2 linked regions of the Danio rerio genome follow. The protein of the gene in region 2 interacts with the protein of the main gene of each other region in a pairwise test. Links are inferred from orthologs where the notes say so. Each region holds a gene or a part of one and is shown on either strand. Other genes may lie near its edges.

What was found.
Region 1: the proteins of stat3 (region 2) and blk interact in binary tests that used the Homo sapiens proteins (3 or more experiments, as listed by UniProt). The link is inferred for Danio rerio from reciprocal best matches to the Homo sapiens genes STAT3 and BLK.

Annotation. Positions count from the first base shown.
Region 1 is NC_133195.1:21,636,682-21,644,837, reverse strand, and holds part of blk (tyrosine-protein kinase Blk), read right to left. Parts: coding exon of another isoform or gene 8,115-8,156; coding exon 8,037-8,114; intron 7,640-8,036; coding exon 7,603-7,639; intron 7,085-7,602; coding exon 6,991-7,084; intron 6,112-6,990; coding exon 6,013-6,111; intron 5,788-6,012; coding exon 5,684-5,787; intron 3,016-5,683; coding exon 2,866-3,015; intron 1-2,865. UniProt on the Homo sapiens protein: Non-receptor tyrosine kinase involved in B-lymphocyte development, differentiation and signaling. B-cell receptor (BCR) signaling requires a tight regulation of several protein tyrosine kinases and phosphatases, and associated coreceptors.
Region 2 is NC_133178.1:15,778,052-15,784,861, forward strand, and holds the end of stat3 (signal transducer and activator of transcription 3), read left to right. Parts: intron 1-696; coding exon 697-797; intron 798-3,450; coding exon 3,451-3,557; 3' UTR 3,558-3,997; downstream 3,998-6,810. UniProt on the Homo sapiens protein: Signal transducer and transcription activator that mediates cellular responses to interleukins, KITLG/SCF, LEP and other growth factors. Once activated, recruits coactivators, such as NCOA1 or MED1, to the promoter region of the target gene.

The DNA.
Region 1 (8,156 bases), on a different chromosome or scaffold from region 2:
GAGCTCTAAGAGATAAGTTCCCGGCAGGCGAGAATCTAGCCGGAACTGTGTTTTGCTATCTGGGTGGCTAGGCGTGTATCAGCAAACTAATAAAGCCCGAAAAAAGCCCTGAACTTAGCGAATAAACAGTGTTCCACCAGGATCATGTATGTCAGAAACTATAGTTTACTGCTGAACTCATTTTGTCATGGTAAAATAACACAGAAATCGAATAATAACATTTCAGTCTACTTCAGTCTCCTGCCGAAGCTCAGACGCCGCGCTTTGAGAAACTGTCAATCACAGCTGTAAATCACGATGACACGCCCAGCATTAAATTACTGCTAAAAACAAACTGTTTACAAAAATGAAGATCTGCACCTATTTCAGCACAATAACCAGTGCCTTAATCGACCAGAACTATCTTTCGGGACATTTTATTGCAAGTGTAATATTTTTTTTTATTTGGGCTCAAGTCTCCTTCATTAACACGGGGGAGGCGGGCTTTATGACTTGTACTGCAGCCAGCCCCCAGGGGGCGATCTAACGGCCGAAACCTTCACTCAAACGTAGGCTTGCGGCACACTTGGTTTGAAATTATTGTGTGACTTTCGTTTTAGTTTGTTGAGTTGTTGATTAGTGATGGGACAAAATATGTGCCCATTTATAGTGTTATTTCTGACAGCGATACATACTCAGGCGCCAAGATATTTACCTAAATTTACAAAAGATCTGATTTAATTAATCAGTTTTCCACACTGACTGCAGCAGATAACCGCTTTAGCTACAGTACACCCAGCCGCCACCAGGTGGCGCTTCGCGTAATGGCGGATCATCGGACATACACCAGCGTCATGTAAACCACTGAGATGAGCCATTGCAATGGTGAATATCTCAGGCATACAGACACTTTCTTCTGTCCAAGCTGGGCCAATGTATTTGTGTGTTTGAGACATCCAGCTCCCCCGAATTCGCCACTAGTTTCTAACAGACGCGCTTTCACTTCGCTATATCACTCGCGCGTGCCCGCGGCCAGTGCAACTTCTTATGTGCTCAAACTTTTTAACTCCGCCAAAATATATAAAGATATCAATAGGACATGAACATATAATTACAAGGGTCTTGCGTTTATTTGACTCTTACAGAACTTGTCAAAGTCTTGTGGGTGGTATTTTGGCAAAAAATATTAGGGGAATTAAAAAACTTAAACAGATAAGTAAATAACTAATGTTCTCCACTGCTGAAAACATACGTACTCAGAGGAGTCTGTGCTCACCTCTCAGAGCATTCTGATCAGTTGAAAAAATAGTGGGAATACATATTTTTTTATTAAAAATAAACCTGGTTTAAGCATAAAAATTTTCCATGTTTACATAAAATGAGTTGGTCAAGTTGTAATGTTTTAAGTTTACAGAATGCAATAAATTACTTTTTTGACAGTTTTTTTCTTAAATGCACATTGCACAAAATTGAGATTCTGCTGCTGTGATAGATGCTCTTCAGTCATAAACTCCTCTCTGCACATCAGCATTTTTAAGCTTGTTTGACAGATGTGCACTTGTTTTACATTGTTGCAAATCTATAAATGCGTGTTTATAAAAGAATATCATAATTTTTTTTGATGCATTTTCCCCCTCGTTTACCAAAATTGTGATATATTGTGGCTGGTTTTCTTGTGATCTATCAATATATCTCAGAATCATTGATATCGTGATTGAAGCAGCAGTGCCCGGAACAGCAGCAAAATGCTTTTTCATGAACTTGGTGATAAAAAATAAGCTTCTGATTTATTGACAGTTGGTAAATACACTGCAAAAATGATTTTCTTTCTTATAGTTTTTGTGTGATTTTTAGTCCAAATATCTAAAAATTCTTAAACCAATACACATTTTCTAGACAGATTTTTAGTCAAAATTATGTGAATTTTTCATTAAAAAAGCTCAATAATCTGCCAATTAGGGTAAATAAAGAATATTGTTTTAGGTTTTAAATAAGATTATTTTACTTATCTCATTGGCAGATTAATTTGTTTTACAAAAAAAAAAAAAAATCACTTAATTTAGAATTTGTTTCTGAAAACTGAACAATTTTTGTACATATTTAGTAATTTGACTAATATGCGAGTATGTCTAGAAAATGCTTCCTGATTTACTTTGATTTTAGTTTAAATAGATGTTTTAAGTTATTTGAACTACAAAATACAATATGATTTTTTTTCAGTGTTAACATTTATATTCAATAAAAAATAAATGTATCTTTATTGTCACTATGTTTGACAGCGTCTTGTGCCTGAATAATAAAAAAAAAAGTATTTTATTGGCTACTTCCAGCTGCTTTTGTTTCTGCCAGCCCATATTAATGTTTTGTGTCAATTATTTAGATTTGGGCAAGTAGTAACATAAAAAGTTGGATCAATAGGAAGTTGTTTCTGCAGAATAATATTTAGAATTGTCTTAAAACATATATTTTATGATGTAAGCAACACAGCTACAGCGAATAAAATCGATAATGTGTGTTTTAAATTTATAGTGTGCGAATTATCAAGGATTTACGATAATTTGCCATATTGTTTGCACCAAGGGGGCCCCAAATAAAATCCTGCTTAGGGCCCCCTGAAGGCTTGGGCCGGCCCTGGTTCACTGAAATGAAACTATGTTTACTGGCTTTATAATACATCCCCAAACCAAAACGTAGAAAAATGACTCGTACACAGTTCTATAAAAAGACACAACAAACCAAAACGGTGGCGATGGTGCAGTCTATGAGCTCTGACCTATTTATCTAGTGGTTAAAGCAAGTGTTTATCCTGTTCTTTGCTGCTTCCACCACAGAAACTACACAGTAGAGGAAACAGAAAAAGCCTTTGCTGCAGCTCTGAGCACTTACTAGAGTAATACTTCACCAGCTCTTGAAGAGAAGAAAAGCTTGTGGACGGGGAGATGTAATATCCGCCATTATCCAGGGCTCGAATCTTATAGTGCTTGACCACATCACCCTGCTCTGGAGTGGAGTCTCTGATGGACAGAGAGAACGCACCTGTGAAGGAGCATTCACAAACATGAGTTAAATAAAGACCAGCTTCAGATTCAGACAAATATGTGATTAATAGATGCTCAAGTGAATTCAATCTGACAGGCACCACTGGAATGAAAACTAAAAATAATCATAAAAGAGTTTCATAAACAGATCATTGGTGGGTTTAGATGTAACTAAAATAGCTGATGTTGATTAATGCACCTTGTATAGTGTGATAAATTCTTCGATAAACTGGTCACAAGCTGTTTAGTGGGGTTTTGTAAGTGTAAACCTCCCTTAAGGTATGCTGTAAATAAAATTCTCCCTGCCTTAAATTTTTCAGAATCAAATGAACTTCATCTCAAATCATTCAAACTGACTAAAAATACAACAGTAAATTTTGTACAACAAAAAAGAAACTGGTTATTAAAAATTAAAGAAAGAAACTAAAAATTAAGAAACTTTTTAAATTAAAGGCAAAGTAACATAAAGGCATTTGTTTTCATGACTTTTTGTCATATTTTTTTACAGTGTAGTAATATAAAACTGATGATATAATGAAAAAATAAAATAATGATAATGAAATAATGACAATATAACTGTATAAAAACTAAAAAAAAAAAAATATATATATATATATATATATATATATATATATATATATATATAAATAACATTATAAACAAGATATAAATATTACGCATACAAATTTATTTATCAGGTTTTGATACTTTATGCATAAAATCAAACAATATTAGTTATTTCAAGGTTTACTAAAATGAAAAATAATAATAATCTGCATAAAAAAAATTATAAATTCCAGTTACGTCTAGTTTCTGCACCTCCCCTGGCTCTAAAATCAGACAAACAGAAAAGCTTAGAAAAAAGTTAGAAAAGCTATTTTTATCTCTACTTATGCTCTGAGCAAAAACACAAGCAAATCTCAGTACATAGTTTGACATTTATTTGCTCTTTCAGCGCTCTGCATGATGTGAACTGAAGATCAGCAGATCAGACCGTAAACTTTGAAAAATGCATCCTTTATCAACAAAGAATTTGAGCAGAGTCAAATAAAAGTAACATTCTGAACGCTGAATATTAGGAGTTCCTTCAGATATTCATTTAGTTTGAATGGTCTGATGTAAAACACTCATTTACAGTGATAGAATAGTGTACACTAATGAAAAAAAAATTAAAAGTTCTGCTTCTCTGGATTTAGAGGATATGGATTTATTTGATATTGGTTTAAGTAAAATATTCATATGGACCCTTTTCACAAGACTGTTATAACGTGTTTAATGGTCATCATGATCTTAAATCCTTGAAAGTTTCTAATGTTTGATAAAATGTTAAATTTGATCAATGTTTTTAGTTAAAGCTTATGTGAGGTGTTTCTAATGCAGCGTTTATAGTGCTGAGAGTAAATTTGACGTTATTCTCTCCTCTGGCTGCCGTCATCAGTCTCACACAATTTTTTTTCCTTTTTCTAAAAGTCTTGATAACACCATCGAGAAGTTTTTTTTTTTATTGTTACAGCAAATAGAGTTGTAAAAAAATTATTTGTTGTACTCTCCCATTCACTCAGTTTACCCAGCGATGTTGCCTTCCGCTACTGAGCAATCCGGAAATGTGAAAAGGGTCTGTTGGTTTATTTTATAAAGGTTTGATAACATTTCTTTCAAATCACACATTACAGTATTGATATTTGTAGCATTTTCCCTAAAAAAAAATTGTCAGATTTTTTCAATTCGTTTATATTTACTATGACAAACATCTGCACTGTAAAAAAAGGTTCACTCAACTTAAAATTTTAAGGCAACTTGCTACAGAGCTTTTTGAGTTGACTTAACTTTATTAGAGTCAAGTGCAAAATTTGGGTTGAAAACTGAATCATCTCAAAAAAGCTCTGCAGGAAGTTGCCTTACAATTTTGAGCTGATTCAACAATTTTTTTACAGTGGGTTTTTTGACCAAATATTGATTTCTAAAACTGAATACCAGCATGTTCTAAAACGTGACACTTTTTTGTTATCTTCTGCACCAAAAATGCTCAATTTGTAAAAGTGTAAAAAATTGTTTTATTTTAAATTTGGAGAAAATATCACAGAATAACAATTATTATTACTTGCAAACTAAAACCTCAAACATAAAAAATACTAAATCGATATAAAGTTTTTAAGTGGTTTCTAAAATGTTTACACAGATCGACAGTACTATATGATTTCTTTAGTATCAGTTAGGTAATATTGGTTACTTTATTAGACTTATTTTGCAGCCAGGAGTCCTAATTCATGACACAATGCCTCACAAAATCTTACAGACAGTAACAAAATCAAAGCCTTCAAGAGTCCAGTCCTCTCACAAAATTAATCAAATGAATAAACCAAATAAATCCTCTCTTCTTAGTCCAAATGGTATATAAAATAAAACTACAAGCAACAGAAACACCTCGGCTTTAGCCTATTTTTGTATCCTTAAGTTCTACAACTTGACACTTGTATTTCTTTTTAATATTGCTAAATAATTAATTAAAGGCAAAAGCCCTTAAACAACTGCGTGCAATAAGCACTATATTACAATGTTATTGTAATAAACTGCAGCAACAAATTAATAAATAAGTCATTGATCCTAACCAGTGAACCACTGACATACAGTACAACACAATAAGTGATAATGTGGAAATGTCTGACCTTTGGTTGTTTCACTTTCTCTCACAAGAAAGGAACCAGGTTTATTTCCTGGTGCTAGCAGAAGACGCTCTGTATCTCTACGATTCATGTCCTTAAAAAACCATCTGGAACAAAAACAGGAACCTTAATAATATCATTCTTCTCCAAGTAAGTCAGCAAATTATACAACAGACAAGGGACATTCCAAAGATGCTGATATTATTAAGCACAGTAAAACAGCAGAGCAACATTTGGAGTCCACAGCTGAAATACAGCAAAAAGCAGCAAACACTATTTATCGTGAGAAAAAAAAAAAAAAAAAAACATTTATTGATCATATTTGCTCTTACCGCTCCACCTGTAGCGTTTGCGCTCTTGCCACATACGTAGATGGAATAAATCCCTCATAACCTGTGACCAAGGACTTCGCCAACCACCATTCTCCATTTCTAAACAAACAAAAAACAACCAAGACATATCAGATTTAGCTTTTTCTTTTTACTGTGAGATTGAAGTTTGTACTAATTTACATGACTTTGGAATTGAAACATTTAAAGCAAATCTGGAGTGAGTTTAAATGAAGCATAACAGCAATATTAACACTTTTTAAAAAACATTTTTGAGGGTATTTTTAGCGCCATCTCTCAGCAATTCATAATGTTTTGATTTAGCAACTAATTCAAATGAATTCGTCAGATCTTATTCATACATTTTAGTATAACTTGTTCATGTCCCAAAGAGGGGTAGGGTAAAGGGGGAGTTTGGGGGCACAAATATCATAAATTTTTTATACAAACGGAATTGTATGAATTTGTATGAGTTCCCTTCTGTTCTGACGAGTTACATTGCCTTGTGACATCAGGTTGGGTACTTTTGGAACACAGATTCAAATTTAATTAGATTTGATTGATTTATTTCGAACAAAATAATAAAACCTTTAAAACAATTATTCAAACACTAACAAATGTTATCATTATGAACAGAACATCTGAATATCTGTATAAAACAAATTTCAATCATTAAGAAATGCACAAGTTTAATATTATTCATTATTCTTTGTTGCCCCAAATACCCCATAATTTGATTATCAAATTATTTAATCTCTTATCTTTTCATCCACTTTTATCTATTCTGTTCCCTTATAGATACCATTTGTACATTTGCTTAAATTGAGCGTCATAAAGTTAATAAGTTCTAACTTAAGCTTTGGATTCTTGTACAAATAAATACCCAATACTTCACAACTTCTTGTTATATTATAACATGTTAGAATTTGTGCTGTATTTTAGTTATAGTCTATATTCATATTTAGCAAGTTGTTTACTCACTCCTTAATAATCCTGAGTCTGTCCCCTTTTTTGAATTGAAGATCATTTTCACTAGCAGGCTGGAAGTCATATTGTGCAATAACAACATCTTCATCTGAAAAAAAAAAGTTAAATTTGTTAAAAAATTCCTTTCAAATAATCTTACATCTGCAACATCTCATCATGTAAACCAGGGTTAAGAAATAACATTTTCTCTTATGAAAAGTGAATTTAATTACCTCTATTTTAAACATTTACCTATTTTAATCAAAATACTCTAATACATAATAACCAACTGATAACTAATAGCGCCAATACAACTCATTTTTACATTTCATTTTGATCAAAAGCTTAATTATTTTTGGGACATGTTTTGTCTGCTTTTCCTTGCATTTGTGATGTATATTATTGTCTTTATTTTAGACAATGCAATATGTTTAATGATGTGACCATAGCATTATAAAAGTTTCCTTTTCCTTTCTTTTTTAGAAAAGATTTTAACATTTTCAGTAGAAACACAGTGATTAGGCCAAAAACCATAATGACTATTCAAATATTACTAAATAAGTTGCAATAAACAGATACTCTTCACTAATGCCAAATTCGATAACTGAAATAAAACATATGCATTACCTTGGTTGTTGTTTTGCTTCTTGTGATCTCTTGACGCCTGTAAATAACAAGAATAATATATAATATATATAAAATATATATAACTTATTGACCAAAATGTTTGTTTTTTAAAAACAAGACATAATACATTTTTAAATATAATTTAAGATAACATTTGTAATTAGTTACTTTACACCACTGGTAACACTGCATTACAACATACCACAATGTTATTACAAACTATGCTTCTGTGACTTTAATGTCATAAACATAATTTTTACAAACATAAAAAGAAAGAAAACACAGAATACAAAAACTATTAGCTTTTTTAAACTTAAAAAAATTAATAATAAAATAAAATAAAATAAAATAAAATAAAATTAAATTAAATTAAATTAAATTAAATTAAATTAAATTAAAAATTATAATTAAATACTAAAACCAGCAATACTTACGTGAGATGTCTTAGAGTTTGTTGAATTATAATGCTCATGACCTTTTGGATGGTTCTGGTCACTACAAGCACAACCCATCCTTAAAAATGAAATGTGATCATCTTCTTGTGTAGGGTTAAT
Region 2 (6,810 bases):
ACCAAACTTCAATACAAATGCTTTATATTAAAAATCAAACAGGATGTCTTCATGAACCAAATCCAAACAGGCCAAGCAGGTTTGCCTGTGATTATTAAAAATGAACAGTGGTGGATGCCAAATCTGCAAAATGCCAGAAATACGCCTGTATTTAAATTTCATTGGCACTTTCTAACCTTTTCTATAAATTCAGTCAATTAATAAATGTAAATAATAATTAAACTAATGAAAAGCATGTTTCTTTTCAAATGACAATGCTGTTGATGTTTAATCTGCCACTTTAACATCCTCTAACATTCATGATAACAATCTGTTAAAGGGTTAGTTTACCCCAAAATGAACTTAATTTGCCTATCTATAAGATTGTTGAAACCTGTATGACTGAACCCCTTCCACATTGCTGACATTTCTCAAAATATCTGATTTTCCACTGAAAAAAGAAAGTCATGCAGGATATGAGGGGAGTGTACACGATGACAGAAGTTTCATTTTTGGGTGAACTTTCAGTATTAAGCAAGTGGTGTCCATGTGTGCGACTCTAAGTGTGGGTTTGTGTGAGTTTTAGTAGGTGTTTCTGACACATATGTAAACTAGGACGGAGGCCGACTCATGCTGTGAAAGATTTCTTACTAAATCAACACATCTGTTTGCGTTTCGTTTGTCATCATGTCTAATGTCAATGTCTTTCTTTTGCAGGACTAACTCTGGCAACACAAGCGATTTGTTCCCAATGTCGCCTCGCACGCTCGACTCTCTCATGCACAACGAAGCTGCTGAGGCCAATCCAGGACCTCTCGGTGAGTCATGACGTTTCAACAGCTTATCATGTTTATGAAAAAAGATACATATTTATAAATAGTCGAATACAAAATAAAAGTTTGTTCGACATAAGATATGTGTGCATTATATATATACATATATATATATACAACAGTTCTGTCTGGTTCTCAAATCTGATTGGCTGATAGCCATGCAATATTCTGCAATATCAGAACTCCTACAGCCTCTTTAACCCTTTGTGTATTACTCCGCCCACATACAGCCAGCAAAAAGCAGACACTACAGATCTAAAGTTTAAAAGATGCACACTCAACTGTTTAACTGTCAGCTTATGATTTGAATCCGGAAGAAAGTAGTTCCTCATACACAAGAGTTTTTGAGACTCTCCAAGTTTGATTTTGTTTTTATATACACAATTATGCTGTCAAACTCGTAGCAGTGCGATAAGGCAACGCACGCTTCCCACCAGTGCCGATATACAGCCATATCGCACTGCTACTCGTGTGATATTGCTCATATATATATATATATATATATATATATATATATATATATATATATATATATTTATATTTACCGTGTGTTATATACACATACAGTTGAAGTCACAATTATTAGCCCCTCTTTGATTTTTTTTTTTCTTTTTTAAATATTTCCCAAATAATGTTTAACAGAGCAAAGAAATTTTTACAGTATGTCTGATAATATTTTTCCTTTTGGGGAAAGTTTTATTTCAGCTAGAATAAAAGCAGTTTTGATTTTTTTTTTAAAAAGCAATAGAGTCAAAATTATTAGCCCTTTTAAGCTAAATGTTTTTCAATAGTCTACAGAACAAACCATCATGATACAATAACTTGCAATAACAATAATAAAATATAAGGTTTACAGTGCAAATACAATTAGAATCACTTGTTTAATAAACCAAGCTACAGTAAATCTCTCATATAATACATCCACTAAAAACAGGAATCATTAGTTTACAAATTATGTTGTACATAAATCCTCAACATCTGCTTATTTGTCAATGATATTGCTCTAATTAATATAAAAACGATAATGTAATATGTGTAAGAATAAATATTTACTCCCATTTACAGAAGAATGTAAAATGATTGAATGGTGGGCTCAAAAAGAAATCTAATAGTAGTATTAATAATAAATAATTACATCATTAAACGTGTATTTAAATTACTTTTCTAATTACTATTTTCCAAGGCATGTGCAGTTGTCTGACAAATCCAACATTTAGTTGAGAAATGAAATTATTTAACCCGCAAAGTATCTAAAGAGGAAAATACAATCACACTGTTCTAGTCTACAGTAATATTTATTTTATCATGAATTAATTAATCACTCCTTTTATTGTTTCTTAAGCATGTTATGTTGTCTTGATAAATGTCACCTTTACTTGAAAAACTATTGTTTTTATATATAATATATTTGTATAGTAAAAAACAATACAATAATTTCTGTTTTTCAAAATTAATTTATAAAGAACTGTTGAATTTAAGTTTCTGTGTAACTGTAATGGGTTATATGCACATGGACTTTTAATTTTAGTCAGCCAGCCTCAGCAATCTTTCCATTTATAAAATTGCCATGTTAAGGTCTGATTTCTTTAAAAAATTAATGATATTCACTGCCTGATAGATATAGGATATAAAGTGGATCTCACACCGGCCAAGAAGAACTGCGTCAAATTCCATTTCCCGCCATCACATCTTAAAAATGTGGCCGTTTATTTTACCCCAGTGTTTCTACTGTCAGAGTTTCTGCGCTCGCCTGCTGATCCTGACTGCTAGTGGTTACTTGGTCTTTAATTTCGATTTCCCTTGAACAACTAAATAAATGAATAAGTCTATTCAACTGAATGTACTTTAACTACATTACAACATGGATGATGTAAAAGAAGCCATATGAAATTGAAAATAGTCACATTAACCTTTTACCCTTGTTTGTAACCCACAATCAATTTGTACATAAACGAAATATGGCAAAGAGAATGGGACAACTGCATAAAAAATAAATTACATGAAATTAACCCGTAAATAAACAAAAGGCATTTAGCAAATTATAGTTTTGAGACCAGACATGATCAAACGGTCTATACCAGATGTCGAATCGGACATTTTAGGTTTGCTGAATAACGAAGAATCACCTAAATGTAATGTACTGCCAGGCTGCTCTTACCATAAAACAGATTTTGTTGGAATGTAGAAGTTTAAAATCCATTTGACAAAATTTTTATAAGGAGGGTATTTTGATGGACATCTTTAAAAAGGTACCACCCGGAAGAGTTTTAAATTATTTATCAAAAATTGAACTGAAATATCATATTTAACTTTGAAAAAGAAATGTGTGCCATTTTATCTATTAATATTTTATATATTTGTCTATGTAACTTTTTTTTTGTAATATGAATTTGTTTTTATCATTTAATATTTTATGTACATCCATTTTGCCACGAAATAGCCATAAGTTGCTGATGTGGCAAGAAATAAATAATATATAAATAAATTAACCTTTCACAGGAAGTTTATCATTGGCTGAAAAACAAAAAACAAAAAAAATCCCTTACTTTTTTTTTTTGAGGATAAGTAATTTAATGAAAGTAACTTATTACAGCCAACCCACCTTCTTATAATACTGTGTGTTGCCATGTTTCCCCAGAATCCCTCACTCTGGACATGGAGTTGAGCTCTGATCATGCGTCACCCATGAGAGAAGGGTTTGCAGCCTCCACAGTCTCGGATATGGACACCTGCCGAAATGCTTAGTTTTCCAAGATTTTAGTTTCATTTTTTTTTTTTTTTTTTTCCATTGGGAAAAGCAATTTTCATGTATATAGTGAGCTTAGGTGCTACAACTGCTTTCTCTCTCCGAGCCAAATTTTGCATTTCTTTTTTTGATTTTACAGTCAGTCAAAAGTGCAAACAAGCTAAAGTTTTCATTTCAACCTCGACAATACTGAAGTTGACTTTAAAATTAAAAAAAAAAAAATAATAATGGTTACACTGTAAAAAATGCTTTTCTTGTTTAAAGTTTTTGTCTTGTTTCTAGTCCAAATATCTACAAAATCTTAAAGGGCACCTATTTTACCCCTTTTACAGGATGTAATAATCTTTTGGTGTCTCTAGAATGTGTCTGTAAAGTTTCAGCTCAAAATACTCATCAGATTATTTATTATAGTAACCAGAATCTGCACATTTCGGTGTCTGAATACAGTGTAGCTGTTTCTGTAGCATGTCTTTAAATGCAAATAATCTACTTCTCCCCACCCACCGTTTCCACATGCGTGTCTGCTTCTATTACACCCCAAGACTAGGGGAAAACAACATGGGCTTAATAAACGGGGGAAAAAGTGTTGTGGGTGGTGGATTTCCCAAACAAAACAAAAAACTTGATGCAAAAGATCCCCCTCGGACATTCAGATGAGAGTGGTTGATAGATTTATTATAGAAAAATAGGCCAAAATAACAAACAAAAGACAAAGTAAATGAACTAAATTACTTATGTATATTTAAAGAAAAATACAAGAAGCTTACCTTCCTCCTTAAATATAAACAGTCAAAAGTAATCAAATAAATAGGCAGGCCACCTCTACAAGCTCAAACTCTCAAAACGTTGCAAGCATGAACAGTTGTACAAGACTAAAGGTTGGTCGTCTGCCGGAGAGGTAGGGAAAATCCAGAAGCTCTCCACTCCCAGCAACCCTTGCACCACAAATGAGCTCCCCGAACCCTTCCGTAAGTTCCTTTTAATAGGCCTCTGCGACCAGCAGTCAATCAGAGCTTGGATCACATTAGAATGGGATTCTATGGAATAACAGAAAACAACAGAAAATGCGGAACACATGCAAGACACATGCAATGCGCAACAAAAAATAAACAAATACTTTAGTCGTAACAGCTTCTCATCATGCAGTACGTCAGCTAAACAGACATCAGTGATAGAGACAGACACTGATAAAGCTGAAATACAGCTCCATTAGTCAAAAATACCAAGTAAGTTTATTACATGTATTTGTGGAGGAGTTTATTTAAGCCTTTCTGAAATGATGAGTCTCACACAAATGCCGTTTGCAGTACACACATATATATGCCGAGTACAATTCCTGGCCGATGCTTCCCCCTTCTCTGCTCCCCATACTTTCCTGTCTGTTAATCTCCACTGTCTTTATTAACCCTAAACATTTTAAAAATAATTATTACAAACATGCTCTGTTTTAAAAATGTTTTAAACTGATAAAACTTATACAAATCACAGAGAATTGTAACAGATAATTCAGTCCCAGTTTCTTTGCAAAAAATTGACAGTTATTATAGAAACATGGTGCCTGTCAATCAATTCAGTGGGTGGGGAAAACTGCATTTCTACTTGACAATGTGGTGGGCCTCACAATCACTAGGATTTGGGTCCTATTTTAACATCAGGAAATATTAAAAAAACAGACTTCTTGGGTCTACAGAACTCCAATATGGCAGTGGACACACTATATCTAAACACAGTTCTGTCCAAACAGCTTCCAAAAGTTCTTTTTCATCATAGGTGCCCTTTAAAACAAGAAGCATCTTCTAGACAAGTAAGAAATTTTGTATGTTTTCAAAAATATTTAGTCGAAATTAAGTTAGATTTTTCTGTCAAACAAGCAAAATAATCTGCCATTAGGGTGAGTAAAATGTTTTTGATTTCAAATTAGTATCTTACTTAACCCATTGGCAGATTATTTTGCAAAAAATATAAGAATTTTTACTCATTATACCTAAAAGCAAAACAATATTTTTTATTTGTCAAAAAATACTACTTGATTTAAGATTTTTTTTATATATTTGGACTAAAATCGAGACCAAAATTAAGCAGGAAAAAATATTTAAATGTTTTATTTTTTTATTACATGTTGATTTGAATGGTTTTAAACTTTGAAAGAGCTTTCAACATGTTTAAACTGCAAACTTTTGGCCATGACTGTATTGTTGCCACATCTATTTTTTAGGAATAGGAAAAAAGCCAGTCATTTGTATTGCAATGAATGTCCAGTGTGTTCGCAGACATGAAGCATATTCCGAGCTGTTGGCATATAGAGACGGTGTTTTGATCTTTTGAAATGAGTAAACTTTACAGGAATACAGATAATCGGCATGATCTTTCATCATATTGAACCTAAAACTGGATTCAGATCTTGATTGGGCACTCAAGCATCATTAAACGGTCAGATCATAAGTTGTAAAGTGACTTTTTATGCATGCACGTCTATGATAGCTTCGGTTTTACATGAATATACTGTATTTTAATGTCGCTAAAAATGTTTTACTCTTTTATTATATGTCTTAGGGAAGCCCATGGAGGAAGATAAATGTCTGAATATATATCTTGCGCTGAATTTTTCGCCATATTACAGTGTCGCCCATATTTGGATTGCAAGGTAATTCTTGCACAGAGCCAGCAGAAATATAGATACACATCCAAATACATGCACATATACAGAAGCAGCAATGCACACATATTTATAATTTTACTCCTTAAATCTCTCATCTGTTGTGTGATCATCATGCAAGATACACTTCAAATGGAAATATGATGGAAAAAAAGATGCTTCTTTGTGTACTGTTTCTCAGTCTGTTCTTCCTCTCTCACTTTATAGTGTGTATACTGTTATGTGTATATGCACTGCACTATGTATATTCTCTTTGTTGTACAATGAATTCTTGAAGAGAAATGGTTCTCTGCTCTCGTTTTTTCGTGCTACTGAATCGTCCATAATGATTCACGAAGTTTGGCGTCAATAAGTTTTAAGCAAGACTTTGCACAAAATTATTACGTTAAAAAAGATTTTTAGTTTTAAATAAATACTGTATTTTTTACTTTAAGTTGAATAAATGGTCCATAGTTCAGAAATATTAAGAAATACAACTTGAATACAACTTGTATTAACATGATTGGATCCACAGGCATCACTAAACCACTTTTACTTGCGGTAAAAGGTCCATGCCCCAGTAAATTGAGTTATGATTTACTTCATATGCAAGCGTA